Linked DNA regions of Callithrix jacchus. The protein of the gene in region 2 purifies or fractionates together with the protein of the main gene of each other region. This does not show direct contact. Links are inferred from orthologs where the notes say so. Each region holds a gene or a part of one and is shown on either strand. Other genes may lie near its edges.

Evidence for each region. The genes of interacting proteins can lie anywhere in the genome.
Region 1: the proteins of PDS5A (region 2) and WAPL purify together in Homo sapiens (affinity purification with mass spectrometry; 6 studies listed by BioGRID and IntAct, with this or other methods). This does not show direct contact. The link is inferred for Callithrix jacchus from reciprocal best matches to the Homo sapiens genes PDS5A and WAPL.

The regions. Positions count from the first base shown.
Region 1 is NC_133513.1:43,580,236-43,583,884, reverse strand, and holds part of WAPL (wings apart-like protein homolog), read right to left. Parts: intron 1,167-3,649; coding exon 991-1,166; intron 672-990; coding exon 556-671; intron 1-555. UniProt on the Homo sapiens protein: Regulator of sister chromatid cohesion in mitosis which negatively regulates cohesin association with chromatin. Involved in both sister chromatid cohesion during interphase and sister-chromatid resolution during early stages of mitosis.
Region 2 is NC_133504.1:153,856,748-153,860,496, reverse strand, and holds the start of PDS5A (sister chromatid cohesion protein PDS5 homolog A), read right to left. Parts: upstream 2,683-3,749; 5' UTR 2,571-2,682; coding exon of another isoform or gene 1,356-2,570; coding exon 1,218-1,355; coding exon of another isoform or gene 1,099-1,217; intron 1-1,098. Other genes in the region: uncharacterized protein LOC144581690, read left to right, coding at 1,099-2,570. UniProt on the Homo sapiens protein: Probable regulator of sister chromatid cohesion in mitosis which may stabilize cohesin complex association with chromatin. May couple sister chromatid cohesion during mitosis to DNA replication.

The DNA of each region.
Region 1 (3,649 bases), on a different chromosome or scaffold from region 2:
CATAATTTTTATTGGCAGCTAAAAAGCTGAAAATCAGTGTTCTACCATCTATAAAATGGCTAAAAACCATTAAATATGAAAGGCCAAAAAATAAAGACCAAAAAGGAAAAAAAGGCCAGGCGCAGTGGCTCATGCCTGTAATCCCAGCACTTTGGGAGGCTAGAACGGGCAGATCACCTGAGGCCAGGAGTTTGAGACCGGCCTGGGCAACATGACGAAACCCCATCTGTACTAAAAATACAAAAATTAGCTGGGTGTGGTGGCACAAGCCTGTAGTCCCAGCATCTGGAAGCCTGAGGCAGGAGAATCGCTTGAAGCAGGGAGGCAGAAGTTGCAGTGAGCCAAGATGGTGCTACTGCACTCCAGCCTGGGTGATGGTGAGAATCCGTCTCAAAAAAAAAAACAAAAAAAAACAAAAAAAGAAGTATGTTCATTAGGAAATTCATGAAAACAACCACAATATTAAAGGGTTGATTCTTAAACCCAAACTAAGGTGAATATTTTGCACACCTTACTAGATACAATACTCTTCCTGAAAAAGTCATTTCAACTTACCAGCACTCGAATATCAAATCTCTGCTCCTGAGGTAGGTACTTTGGAACCTGAAGCACACAGTTTAACGCTGTGCCTATGAGACCGTCCTGCTCTCCTGTTTTGGTGCTGCCCCACTCTGAAATAAGAAATGGATATAGGAAAATTGTTACTGATTCTGCCTTAGGACAGTAATAACAGATTTATTAACATGGATATTAACTTAGGATTGTATAGTCATTCCTCTATTGAAACATACTGTTGATACTTCCAGGTCAAGATACTAGGCTTATAGAAATACCAACTCTTAAAAGTGATTTTTAAACCTACACATAAGTACATTAAGACAAATAAAAAAAATCACTACACCAAGAAAAGGAGAAACAAAAAAAAAAATAACTTGTTTTCACATGCAACATACATCTTTCAATGAGAAAAAAAATGGAAAAAAATCTTACCATTATCATTAGTTAAATTGAGCAACACCCCAATGATGGCCCTCATGCAGTCCTCTACTGCTTTGCCCACATGGTTAGTTACATTCTGGTGAGGCAGAGGCTTACTGTCAGCTAAGCATATGCTGTCCTCAGCGCGGTTGTACTGCTGAATCAGTTCTTCACAATGTTGTAATGCTCTTAAGAGAAAATAAAATATAGACTATTATAGTAAATAATAGGTACACAACTTATTTCTATTTACTTGAACCTAAAGGCTATCAGATAAAACTTCCCTTTATTTTGGAAAAACCTGATACCTTAAAAAAACTACCCAAGGAATGTTAAAAATTAAACACTAATGGCAGAAGTTTTTATCTGTGCTACCTACATTTACTCTAGTAATCTCTTTATTTCCAAGTTGTCTCACATGTTATTGATCTCTTCGTCAGACAGAGCACAACCCTTTCTCAAACAGGGAAAATGGTTAAGAGCTAATGTTGAACACTTCTGAGGTAGTAAATGTTATTGCCATTATTACACAACAAATGTTAATGTAAAGACAAGTATTAATACTTCATATGCATTAGAGCAAATAATTATTATCTTAACTATCAATGTTACAGTATAATCATTATTTTTTAATTGAAGGTCAAGCTGACATGTCTCCTTGCCAGTTATCCAAGGGGATGAGCTACATCCAAGTATTCTCAAGATACTACCCAAAATAACAAGGAAATATAATCCCTAAATGGGTCTAGTATTTCTAAAGATGCTGTTTAAATCACCAACTCCACTATTTTTAAGTTTAATACAAATCAAGTAAGCGGTCTCTGTCAGTTGATTCTTCATGCATTATGTAAAATGATACAAGATTCTTAAAAAAATCATATCTAATCTAGGCCTAGTTGCCCTTTAAAACATACTGAGGAAATTCTGTAAAGGTTTCCTAATATTTTACAACCCTTTGGTCAGGAAGGTGTTCCTCATGTGTAACCTAAAATAATTTGTACTTCTGGTATTGAATGCTTGTCAGGATTACCATACTGCCATTGGTAACTCAACTGTTTTTAGACTGAGCTAAACTAGGGCTTTGAAGATAAAAGGAGGTTCAGCATATGTTATTTAATCTTTCTGTATGCTACCCCTGCATTGATCATGGTTTCTGCTGAAAAGCTTAAAATCTAGAGATGAGTGCTCTTTTACAAACAATTCTGACCTCTACCGTCACTTCCAAGACATTTGGTCTGAACTTCCTAATCATAACAAAAGAGCTAAAATGTGTCATATTAAATACTTCCATTTACAAGGCACTTGTTGGAGAGAATTAAGTATACATAAGAGATATTTTTAAATCAGAAACAACATATACAATTTTTATTTGTCAATTTAAAAAAGAAAATGAAATCAGAAACATTTAACTTCAATAATCTTTGGTAAGAAAGGGTAAAACATGGTAGCAAACAAGCAGAATGCATGTGGTAAGAGCACTAACTATATAGGCAGGGCATAGTTCATGCCTATAATCCCTACACTTTGGGAGGTCAGCGTGGGAGGATCACTTGAGCCCAGGAGTTTGAGAACAGCCTGGGCAACATAGCAAGACATTGTATCTATTTTTTAAAAAAGAATGCTAAATATATATATAAAATAGGCCAGGTATGCCTATGATCCCAGCACTCTGGAAGGCTGAGGAGGGTGGCATTACCTGACGTTAGGACTTTGAGACCAGCCTGGCCAACATGGTGAAACCCCATCTCTAATAAAAATACAAAAATTGGCTGGGTGTGGTGCATATGCCTGTTGTCCCAGGTACTCAGGAGGCTGAGGCAGAATTGCTTGAACCCAGGAGGTGGAAATTGTAGTGGGCCGAGATCATGCCACTGCACTCCAGCCTGAGCGACAGAGACTCCATCTCAGAAAAATAAATAAATAAAAGCAAAATATACCATTGAAAAATACAAAATGTAGAAATGCAATCAAGTCCACAAATGCTCTGGAGGAAGACAAAAAAAAAATGTACAAATGCAAGACAAAAAAAGGAGATTTAAAAAACCTATAGATTAAGAAATCTATTGAGACTAGAAATTTGAGATTACTGAAAATTAGAATATTGACTAAACATAAAATAGTAAGCAACTAGATAATCAATAGTATGAAAATAGTATTGGGTTATATTTTTTAAAAGTCATTTTCTTTCAGACATTGTATACTTAAGTATTTATGGATGAAATGATAATATCTGGATTTGCTTCAAATAATACAAGAGGGGGAATGGATGGGGTTATAGATGAAAACCAGACTGGCCATGACTGATAATGTGTACATAACAGCTTATTACACTATTTATATTTGAAATCCTCTAAAATAAGAGGTTAAAAACAGATAAATCAGAATAAGACTGCAATGGGCCTTTGCAAAAGGCCGACTTCCTGTAATAAGAAAGTTGCACATATATCCAAAGACAATAAGCAATCAGAGATTTGGGAAAGTTAACTTCATGTATTACTGTTCTAGGCTAAAGGCCAGAGAAGTAGGGCAGATATTAAGAACTAGGACAAAGATATCATGAAGAGGCTGCTGTAATAAGATAGAACCAGGACTGGAGACATAGTTGGAAATTTTACCTGCACAGAGGTGACAGCATTAGCCTAATTGTGATGAAATATGTGTGGGAACAAAG
Region 2 (3,749 bases):
AAAAATAAAAATATTTGTTTTAATGAAAGGAACTGTTGTCTTATTCCTTCCAAAAGGCAAATTGTAGAAGCAACTTAGTTTTGAAAGCTAAACCGTAGGAATATTTTAAATACTATACTCATTAAAATGCAACATTAGATATATTTACTGGGCTCCAAGAGCAAGAGGGCAAAATTATTCCCTAAAATACATTTTGCCAAGTTGCCCAAGGTGGAAACATTGACAATATTCCTTCCCTTACCTCCCACCAATTCTGATTGATTCTAACTCTGAAAAGTCTGTTAAATCATTTCCTAGTCACTATTACCAATGCCAAAGCCCTGCCTAAAGATTTCAATGTCTTTCACCCAGACTACTGTTTAGTTTCCTAGCTGGACTCACTGCCTCTGGTCTATTCTTACTCAAATCATTCCCTACTCCAATCTAGCACCAATTATGACAACCAAAATGTCTCCACCATTGCCAAATATCTCCTGGAGGTCAAAGTTGCCCTGACTGAAAACCACTGCTTCAAGCTGATCCTACAAGAATATCACTTATTTGGTAAGATTCTGGCCACGATCTATGTCAGTGACACAGAAACCAAAAAAACTAACCAACATAAGGTTGAAATTTAAAACCTTAACCTTCGGACTGCCATGCTTAAACAAAATTAGCTGACGCCTCATAAAAAGAGCCGTAATACTCTTAAACTCCTTTGAACGTATAGATTTAAAACATCTAACTTTAAACCTCAATTTTGAGAAGTCTGTACCTACTGTCAAAGTTTAACCACACTATATACATATTTAAGCTTCTGGATATTAGAAAATTATGCCAATTTTTAAAAAGGACTTTGTGCTTTAATCAATCCCCCTCACAGGCTGAAACTAGGAAACTTCTTAGGCAAATTCCTGCCTACATTTAGGTTTGCAAGCCACTCTGAACAGTATTCTCATTAAATATCTCCAGAAAAAAACGAAAAACACACAAATTCTTATGCTTGAAAACCAGTACTTTTTTCTTTTAAATCACACTCTTTTAAAATTTCTCACAATGGTTATGTCACTAGAAAACTTACTCAAAGACGTAGTAGTGATACAATACCTTTCTGAGGAGGTAAGACATCTAAAAAACTTGGAACTCTAAAGGCCAGACCGAGCAGAGTAGCCATATCACAGGAAAAAGCACCTGCTACCAAGACATCCAGAGAGCGAACAATCCGTCCAGACGCTTACCTTCAGGCGTTTGATCATCTCGTCCGTGGTGATCTTGTCGGTGATCTCTTTTACACCCGGAGGGTAAGCGATCTTCCCGTCGGCACTCACGACGCCACAGAGGGCAGTGGCAGGCTTGGGCTGCGCGGTGAAGTCCATCCTGGGGGACAACTTTTCGTTCACAGTCCTCTACCGGCCTCTATCGGTCAGAAAACCAAAGTTCAGCGGGAAAGGGGCGACTTTCTAACCTCTTTTTTCATTTCAAATCTCTCTAATCTGGAAAAGGCTCTTTCTCCCCGGAGGCCGGGGACCCGGCAGCGGCCCCACCACCCGCTTTTTCCCGGGGCTCGGACCCCGCCAGCGCCGGCCCAGCCAGCCCGGGGCTCACTGGGCTTCCCGGTACCAGCCGCCGCGGCCGCGGGAGACAGCGAACAGCGCCAGGAGTTTACCTTTCCCCCTTTCACAATGAAATCCACCCCCGAGCACCAAGGTCCGAAGTTTGGCGGCCTCAGGAGGTTGATAAGGACCCCAAGGCCCCCACTTGGCTGGAGGGAAGCGCCGAGTCCCGCCCGACTAGTCCTCTCCAGGAAAGCAGACGCGAGGCCTATAGGGCTCGGCTTAGGCCGCAAAACTAGGGACCGAGCGGACCCACGCGCAGTGGCGGCTCCCGGGAACAAAACGCCCTTGCCCAGCCGAGCCTCGGACTCCGGGCAGTCCCCGCCGCGCTGCCGCCCCTCCTCGGTTCCGCTCCCTCACCCCCGCGGGAGGGGAAAACAAGCCGCCCTCCACCCCCAGCCCCACGCCAGGAAGCGGCTGACGCGGCTCCGCACTTCACATTTTGTTCCTTCAACTTCGGCTGAGGGACCCCAACGGCTTCTCTGGCTCCCTGCCGCTTGGCGCCGCCGGCACCGCCGAGGCCTTCCCCGCACCCCCGGGCGGCCCCACCGGGCCTCGGACCCACGGCCCCCCCTCTGTCTCTCCTTCCGTCCCCTCCCTCCAGCAGCCGAGGGCGGGAGCCGAGCCGCCGCCGCCGCCTTTACCTCCTCCTCATGCGGGCGGAAGGTGCATCGAGCGCCCGGGCCTCTGTCAGGTGGTTGCGCCGCCGCCCCTCGTCGGGTTGCACACAAAGCGGCTCCGCGGGTCCCGCCGCCGCCACCCGCCCGCCCGGGAGCGGCGCTGGGGCTGGCGGTGCCGAGGAGCAGCCGCCGCGGGGGGAGACGCGGGGCGAGTGAGCGCTGGGCGGGGAGACAGTGCCGCTCTCCGTCTGGCCGAGGAAGAGCAGCCTCCGAGAAGGCTCCTCCGGGAGCCTGTGTGCGTGTGTCCGCTCGGGACCCCCGCAGCCCGCCCGCCCGCACCTCGCGCCGGCCCGGGTAGCCGACTCGGACCCGGACGCCCCTCGCAGTGGCGCGCGCCCGGCAGTCCGTGCCCCGGGAGCCGGCGCCTCGCGCACACACCGGCCGGTCACGCGAGTGGCGCGAGAGCACGCGAGAGCAGTGCGCGCTCCTCGCTCCCTCCCCTTCCTCCGCCGGCCGTGCATCCGCCTCCCTCGGGCCCGAAGCGGCCGCGCGCAGGGCGGACAGCGCCGCCACCCGGTTGGCGCCAAGACCTGCCGCGCTGGGCGCCTCGGGGAGGACCCGACCCGACAGGGCCTGGAGAGGAGGAGCCCGGGTGGCGGGAAGCGAACCCAGGTTCCCGCGGCCCCGCGACCCTGCGAGGGCACGCAGGGCAAACAGCGCTTTATCTTCCGCCGCGGGGATGAGCTGGTGACTTTTGGGGGTCATCATGAGGGACGTAGACGGAACTGGTTGGAAGATGGTTAATTGCTTGGTGAAAATGAAATGATTTCCGCCCCAGGGAGAGATCTGCAAAGTAAAGGAAAGTTGTGCAACCCGGCACTGCGTGAGCGGCTCACTCTCGGGTATTCTGACAGTCTTTCGAGTTACCCACCCTCCTTCGATTTCTGAAGTTAGCATTTTGAAAGCTGCAAAACATGAAAATAGCATTGCTTCGAGTCGTTCTCAAGGTATGTCTTTGGGCCACCAGGCCTCACAATCACTTTGGGTACTGGCTGAAAACGTACGTCTCCAACTTCAAACATTAAAAAAAAAAAAAAAGGATCTCTGAGAGTGGAACGCAGAAATAAGCATTTACTAATTAGGTGGGTGCTTCTCAATAAGAAAGAACTCATTTTTTTTTTTTAGTGTTTTAAACTTACCAAGCATTAACGTTTTCTGGCATCCAAAGGAAAACAACTATCAGTTAAAAACAGTGCACACAGCAGTGTTTAAGCAATTTAATGTATATAATTGAAACAAACGCAAGAACATACAATTATTTTTTTTAAAAATTAAAAGGATACACAAAATTTCCGAAAAGGATACAATAATATGAAACTGACCACTACCATAGTTTAAAATGATATTTGACTGTTTATTCAAATTATTCTTGATGGATACCCATTGGTCTATTTTTTCTTTTTCTTTTTTTTTCCAGGAACATGTGCACTTTATTGAACACAACTGTGGAAAAGTGTGTGAGGTTAAAAGGCTGATA